Linked DNA regions of Callithrix jacchus. The protein of the gene in region 2 purifies or fractionates together with the protein of the main gene of each other region. This does not show direct contact. Links are inferred from orthologs where the notes say so. Each region holds a gene or a part of one and is shown on either strand. Other genes may lie near its edges.

Region 1 (4,110 bases), about 44 Mb from region 2:
CCCAGCACTTTGGGAGGCCGAGGCAGGTGGATCACGAGGTCAAGAGATCGAGACCGTCCTGGTCAACATGGTGAAACCCGTCTCTACTAAAAATACAAAAAATTAGCTGGGCATGGTGGCGCGTGCCTGTAATCCCAGCTACTCGAGAGGCTGAGGCAGAATCCCTTCCACCTGGTAGGTGGAGGTCGCAGTGAGCCGAGATCAGCCACTACACTCCAGCCGGGGTGACAGGAGCAAGACTCTGTCTCAAAAGAAAAGGAAGAAGAAAAATGTTCTGACCAGACACAGTGGTTCAGGCCTGTAATCCCAGCACTTTGGGAGGCCCAGAGGAGAGGACTGCTTGCATCCAGGAGTTCAAACTACAACAAATGATTTCCTTCCTTCCGGAGTTCAAACTAGAACAAATGATTTCTTTCATTCCTTCCTTCCTCCCTTTTTCACTAGAACAAATAATTTCCTTCCTTCCTTCTTTCCCTCGCTCCTTCCTTCACTCCATCATCCCTCTTTCTTTTTCTCTGTCCCTCCCTCTCTCTCCTTCCTTCCTTCCCCTCCCTCCCTTCCTAACTAGAATAATTTCCTTCGTTCCTTCCCTCCCTCCTTCCTTTTTTCTTTTCTTTCTTCCTGTTTCTTATTTATTTATCTCTCTCTTCCTCCCTCTCTCTCCCCGCCCTGGCTCACTGCAACCTCCGCCTCCTGCGCTCAAGACATTCTCCTGCCTCAGCCTCCCAACTACGCTGGGAGTACTCAGCCTCTACGGCCACTACGGCCAGCTAATTTTTGTATTTGTAGTACAGGCGGCGTTTGCTCATACTGGTCATGTTGGTGTGGAACTCCTGACCTCAGGTGATCCGCCCGCATCGGCCTCCAAAAGTGCTGGGATTACAGGCGTGAGCCACGGCGCCCGGCTCAAATGATTTCTTAAAAGCAACTCAGATATCTAAATATTATTTAAAGCTGTTGCTAGACAAATCAGACTGACTACAGAACGTGAATATGGGCGCCAGAGACTTTGGACGCAGGCAGCTGAGGACACCTATGAACAATCAGTGGGGTCCTACGGCAGACTAAGAACCGCTCTGCCTTTCAGGCGGAAGTGTGGTCAGCTATATCGGAGGGCGGTGGGGGCCTGAGAGGTGTTTCTGCGCAGGCGTCCGGCTCCTAAGTCTACCCAGGAACTGACCCTTCTCGCTCTTTTCGCTGTTAGACATGGTAGGTGTGCGTTTGGTGCTGCTGTCCAGATGTGTTGGTAGCAGACAGGGTGGTGTAGGGTTGAGCAGACTGATCGCGGTAGGTTTTCCTGGTGCTGGAGAATGGTTAAGACACAGGTATTGTAAGGTTTCTTGAGGGTGAAATATTACTCAGCGTTTTCTGCAGACCTCGCGGGTAATTTCGCTTCTAATTTTACCCAGGCCGTCTTCTCTTGGGAGGGCCTGTTAAGAGTTGAGTCGTCCGATTTCTTAATCCTTCTAAAAAGCTAGGGCTGATTGATGGGTTTTTTTTTTTTTGGAGGGGGGTGTCAAAAATTTCTTGGAAATCGTTAGTGATGTGATCTCGCTTGACGGCCTCGTAGATTTTTTTTTTTTTTTTTAAGAAGGGGTTTCACCATATTGGTCAGGCTGGTCTTGAACTCCTGACCTCAGGTGATCCGCCCGCCTCAGCCTCCCAAAGTGCTAGGATTACAGGCGTGAGCTACCGCGCCCGGCTGTCCTCGTAGCTTTTTGATGGGATTAATGGAAACTTCGGTACTTAATCATTTCCGGTAATCTTCATGACCTAGTATAGTGACTGCAGTGTACTCTCAATAAGGAAGATAGAGATACGAAAAGAACTAGAGCGGCATCCCATGGGGACTTCTGCAGATAGACTCGGATTAAAGGTGGAGAAGATGGCGCTAAAGGAAATGCTTATTTAGTCTATTTGAACATCTTTTGGGGTACTTAGAAGGTGCTTTGAAACCTGCATTTGATTAAGCAAGAATTTGCTTGCAAATTAAGGGCTAGCTAGATTTTTTTAAAAAATGATTTCTACCATACGTAAACGGTAAGTTGTCCTGAAATGCTAAGCTTTGATATTCTATTGTGTTTATTTTTTTCGAGACAGTTTCGCTCTTGTTGCCTGGCCTGGAGTGCAACGGCGTGATCTCGGCTCACTGCAACCTTAGCCTTCTGAGTAGCTGGCATTACAGGCGTGAGCCACCGTGCCCGGCCTAGTGTTTATTTTTACTTACCTTTTTGAATGAAAAACGAACAAAAAATGCTGGTGGTAATTTTTTGGGTCGATGATGAGCTGGCATGTATTCTGAATCTAAAGTTGATTATTACTACTTTAGCTCTAGAATTACTCTGAGACCTGAAAATTACCTGAATTGTGACTAAGATGGAGCTTGAATCATTTAAGTTCTTTTTTTGTCATAAATATATACATACCTATACTTTATTTAGAGTCAGGGTCTTCCATTGCCCAGGATGGAGTGCTCCATCTAAGCTCACTGCAGCCTCAATTTCCTGGGCTCAAGCCATCCACCTCAGTCTCCCTAGTTACAATTTTTAAATGGAAGGTTTTCCTATTGCAAGGTGAAATCAACTGAAAATTGTAGAATCTGCTGTGGGGCAGAACGTTGTAAAGGTAAACATTGAGATTACTGCTTTTTTATTTTGAAAGGGCACTCCACAGAAGGATGTTATTATCAAGTCAGATGCACCAGACACTCTCTTATTGGAGAAACATGCAGATTATATCGCATCCTATGGATCAAAGAAAGACGATTATGTACGTATGGTTTTTTTTTATGTTGGAAAGTTTAAAGAAGCGTGACAGTCATAAGCAGTGAGGGAGTGTTTATAGTCATCTTAAAACGGTATCCAACTCCATTCAGAGAACTGAGGATGTGCTGTGCTTTTGGATTTCAGTTAAGCGTGCCTTGAATGCCTGAGGTTGTGGACTTACTAGAATCATAGTTCTGGCCGGGCGCAGTGATTCACGCCTGTAACCCCAGCACTTTGGGAGGCTGAGGCGGGCGAATTACGAGGTGATTGATGCTGGCCTGACCAACATGGTGAAACCCCGTTCCTCCAAAAATACAACATTAGCCGGGCGCGGTGGTGCTTGCCTGCAGTCCCAGCTACTCACCTATACTGAGAGTGCTCACCAGACAAAGTAGATGAGGGTTTGGGGCACAAACAGGTGTCCCTTTTTGTAGTTAGGAGTAAGACTTTCAAGGTCAATGATGTTTTGGCATGTCTTATCTGAATCTACTGCTGATGTGTAATAACACTTGAGCTCTAGAATTACTCTGAGGCCTTGAAAAAGTTTTACCTTAAATTTTTAAATTTTGAGGAAAGCTCTCTGGGACAATCTTAGCCAAAAGTAGTAAACAACTTAGTTAAGATAAATGTTTTTCCCTGTGGTATCCAAGCTCAATTGTGTTAAGCTGATCTGCTGATATTTAGGATATATGGTATGTATTAATTTTTTACTTGAGTGTTAGGTTCTCATAACCTTGAAAATACTGGAGTAGCAGTCATGGAGTCAAGGTCATACGGATGGGGCCGGACTTGTTTCTGCCTTTACCTGCTATCTGCATGCTCTGAATTTGGGTTAGTAGCGAACTGAGCTGCACTACTTCTTAAAACGTCATTTTGAGAGAACCTCACTTTGTTGCCCCGACTGGAGGGCGGAGGTGTGATGTGGGTTCACTGCAACCTCCACCTCCTGGGTTTAAGTGAGGCACCTGAATAGCTGCGATTACAGATGAGAGCCACCATACCCAGCCACAAAACTTCTGAAAATGTAATGCATTGTTGAGTGTGGGAAGAATTTGTTTCTGGAATCTTAATGTTCATGTACCATTGATTAGCCAGTGTTTTATCTGAGCTTAGACATCTTTGGCATGTTTAGGCCATTTTGGTTTTCATGTAGTTATATAATTTACTAATAGATAATAGGTTCTGTACAGACTCCACATTAAAATACATGCCTGATAAATATGGTATAGGTACTCTGAAAGAAATATTCTCCCTGAACTTTACTGATGAAAACAGTAGATGCATTTCTGTCTGGTTGGCTTGTGGGAAAACTAGAAGCCCTATTTGTATTGTCAGCCATAGATTA
Region 2 (3,066 bases):
CGTTTCATCTGGTTGTCTGATTCTGATGCCAGCCTGGATTTAGCCTGTGAGTGTTTTATTTGTCTCCCTATTTCAAGTAATCAAAAGTTCAGGTCACTGAAATAGGCAACAAAATTAAAGTAATTTTAGAGTTGGATGAGTCTATACATGGTTAATTTTGGATTGAGATGAATGGGAAGTTAATAGGTAGAGAGCAGATATCTGAACTTTAAACTCTTGAAAGGAGATGTATGGACAAGAATTGACTTTGATCTTAAAACCCTTTTCCCTGAGCATTCCTTGAAATGGTGTTGCAACACTATCATCAACAGCAGATTAAATGCCAATTTAGGATGCACATTTTGATTCAGAATATTGGTGTAGGCTGCCATTGCCTCAAGGTGGTGGTGATTCAGGCTGTTCTATGCTGGCCTTTTGTTTGCTATTTTCCTTTTTTGTAGTGTAATACTGTTTGTTTATAAGGTTAGAAGTTTTAGTCCTTAACCTGAAGGTTGAAGATAATGTTGTAACTTGGCAAATTTATAACTATCCTAGTTTTAGGTAGTCCAAAATTGGGGCCCTGTAATGGGCTTTATAAAAACATATTTCCTCTGTTAAATTTTTTAAAAAAGAGAACTTTTCTTAGTCATTAGTTCTTGAAAAAGTCTAGCAACTTTTTAGCATTTAATAAGGAAATATTAAAACCAGTTGGTAATGAAAATTCTGACACTGGAGATACATAATATGTTTGGCCATTTATTTTACTGTGATAATGGCTAAAGACCAATGAAGAATTTTTGATAATATATAGTGATGAGAAATTTAATATATAATATGATATTTTAAAGAGTAAAGATCTCTTAAGGTTTAGAATTTAGTGCTTTACTAAAAGTAGGTATCAGGCTGGACTCAGTGGCTCACACCTGTAATCCCAGCACTTTGGGAGGTAGAGGTGGGCAGATTACTTGAGCCCAGGATTTCTTTTTTTTCTTTTTTTGAGACGGAGTTTCACTCTTGTTACCCAGGCTGGAGTGCAATGGCGCGATCTCGGCTCACCGCAACCTCCGCCTCCTGGGTTCAGGCAATTCTCCTGAGTAGCTGGGATTACAGGCACGCGCCACCATGCCCAGCTAATTTTTTGTATCTTTAGAAGAGACGGGGTTTCACCATGTTGACCTGGATGGTCTCGATCTCTTGACCTCGTGATCCACCTGCCTCGGCCTCCCAAAGTGCTGGGATTACAGGCTTGAGCTACCGTGCTCAGCCGAGCCCAGGATTTCAAGAGCAGACTTGGTAACGTGGAGAAACCCCATCTCTACTAAAAATAAAAAAAATAGCTGGTCATGGTGGCAGGCCCCTGTAGTACCAGCTCCTTGATAGAGTGAGACCCTGTCTCCTCCACACACACACAAAAATCATAGAATTTATAATGATTAGTTATATTTACTGTATTAGGTAGGTATTGGCTACTTTAGCATAGAAGAAAAAAGAAAGCTTATGGTTTGCTTTGGTAATATGAAGTTATGGATCTTTAAAAATTCTTTCACTCCAAGACTTATGGATATTTACATACAGGTTTCTTTCTGCAGGGCACCTGTGCTGGTTGCACTTGCTTTGATTGAATGTGGAATGAAGTACGAAGATGCAGTTCAGTTTATAAGACAGTGAGTATGAAGTTTTGTGTTCAGAAATACAGAAAGGAAGATCATGAATGAGGAAGGAATTATGGAAGTGGGTATTCATTTGTAGTGTGGGATAATTTACTTTCTTTGGCTTAAAGTGTTATTTGAAGATGTAAAAACTTTAGAGCAAGTGATAGAGACTCAGTACAGCTGGCTTCCAGATTTAAAAGACTTTCTAATTTGGGTGGCAAATTTGGACATTATAGAATATGTCCAGTATATTGTTTGAATATCTAGGAATCTCGAAAATGCCCCTTTTAATAGATTCCAAATACCTTCCAAATGCAGTTCTCTATTAGGAGGAGGCAAGAAGAATGTATAGAGGAGCAGTTAATCACCTGGGTCTCTTAAGTGATCTGTTCAGGCACAAAATCAGGATGGTAGTGCCCAGACAGGATCTTGGCATCTGGAATAATGAGTCTTCCATTTTATTATCCAGAATTATTTGACAATTTTTGTCTTGCCCTTTCCCTTTGAACCTTTCATTTAAAAAATGAAAACCAAAGAAGAGACTATTTGTGACAGAAAGCATGAAATAATATATGGTAGCGGCTTTAGGAAGGTAACACATTTCAAGGAATGTCATCAGTGTATGTCTTGAGCCTGCTTCTTTATCTTATTATTTTTTAGCATCCTAAATATTTGCTACCAACTCTAATCTGAAGAATATATCAATCTAATTGGGAAGAATATAGTCAGATATTTCTGGATAAACTATTCTGATCTTTATTAAATGGTTAATAGGCCATAATGATGGTCAGCAAGGAAAATTTTTCTTTTCCTTCTTCTAGGAGGACTCAAAGTTCATGTTGCAACTTAGCTCTTAAGAAGTGTTGGCCAGGCGCGGTGGCTCATGCCTGTAATCCCAGCACTTTGGGAGGCTGAGGCGGGTGGATCATGAGGTCAAGAGATCGAGACCATCCTGGTCAACATGTGAAACCCCGTCTCTACTAAAAATACAAAAAATTAGCTGGGCATGGTGGCGCATTCCTGTAATCCCAGCTGCTCAGGGGGCTGAGGCAGGAGAATTGCCTGAACCCAGGAGGCAGAGGTTGTAGTGTGCTGAGATCAAGCCATTCATTACACTCCAGCCTGCGTAACAAGAGCGAAACTCCGTCTCAAAAAAAAAAAAGAAGTGTTATAGTGTGAGAAATGTGCTGGTTTTCAGCTGTGTGGAATTAGAAAGGCCTTAGGACATAAATAATGCATTTCAGTGAATCAGACAGCTCTTTTTTTACCTGATAAAGTTTGCTATTCTTGTATTTTCAGAAAAAGAAGGGGAGCATTCAATTCTAAACAGCTGCTTTACTTGGAGAAATACCGACCTAAGATGCGATTACGCTTCAGAGATACCAATGGGCATTGCTGTGTTCAGTAGAAAGAAATATAAAAGAAGGTTGACTTG

The links. Proteins that work in one complex are often made in the same cells at the same time.
Region 1: the proteins of PTP4A2 (region 2) and RABGGTB purify together in Homo sapiens (affinity purification with mass spectrometry; 3 studies listed by BioGRID and IntAct, counting the BioPlex papers as one, with this or other methods). This does not show direct contact. The link is inferred for Callithrix jacchus from reciprocal best matches to the Homo sapiens genes PTP4A2 and RABGGTB.

The regions. Positions count from the first base shown.
Region 1 is NC_133508.1:112,975,506-112,979,615, forward strand, and holds the start of RABGGTB (geranylgeranyl transferase type-2 subunit beta), read left to right. Parts: upstream 1-1,190; 5' UTR 1,191-1,206; coding exon of another isoform or gene 1,207-1,209; 5' UTR 1,210-1,310; coding exon 1,311-1,325; intron 1,326-2,273; exon of another isoform or gene 2,274-2,352; intron 2,353-2,661; coding exon 2,662-2,769; intron 2,770-3,218; exon of another isoform or gene 3,219-3,302; intron 3,303-4,110. UniProt on the Homo sapiens protein: Catalyzes the transfer of a geranylgeranyl moiety from geranylgeranyl diphosphate to both cysteines of Rab proteins with the C-terminal sequence -XXCC, -XCXC and -CCXX, such as RAB1A, RAB3A, RAB5A and RAB7A.
Region 2 is NC_133508.1:68,517,347-68,520,412, reverse strand, and holds part of PTP4A2 (protein tyrosine phosphatase type IVA 2), read left to right. Parts: intron 1-1,568; coding exon 1,569-1,643; intron 1,644-2,930; coding exon 2,931-3,039; 3' UTR 3,040-3,066.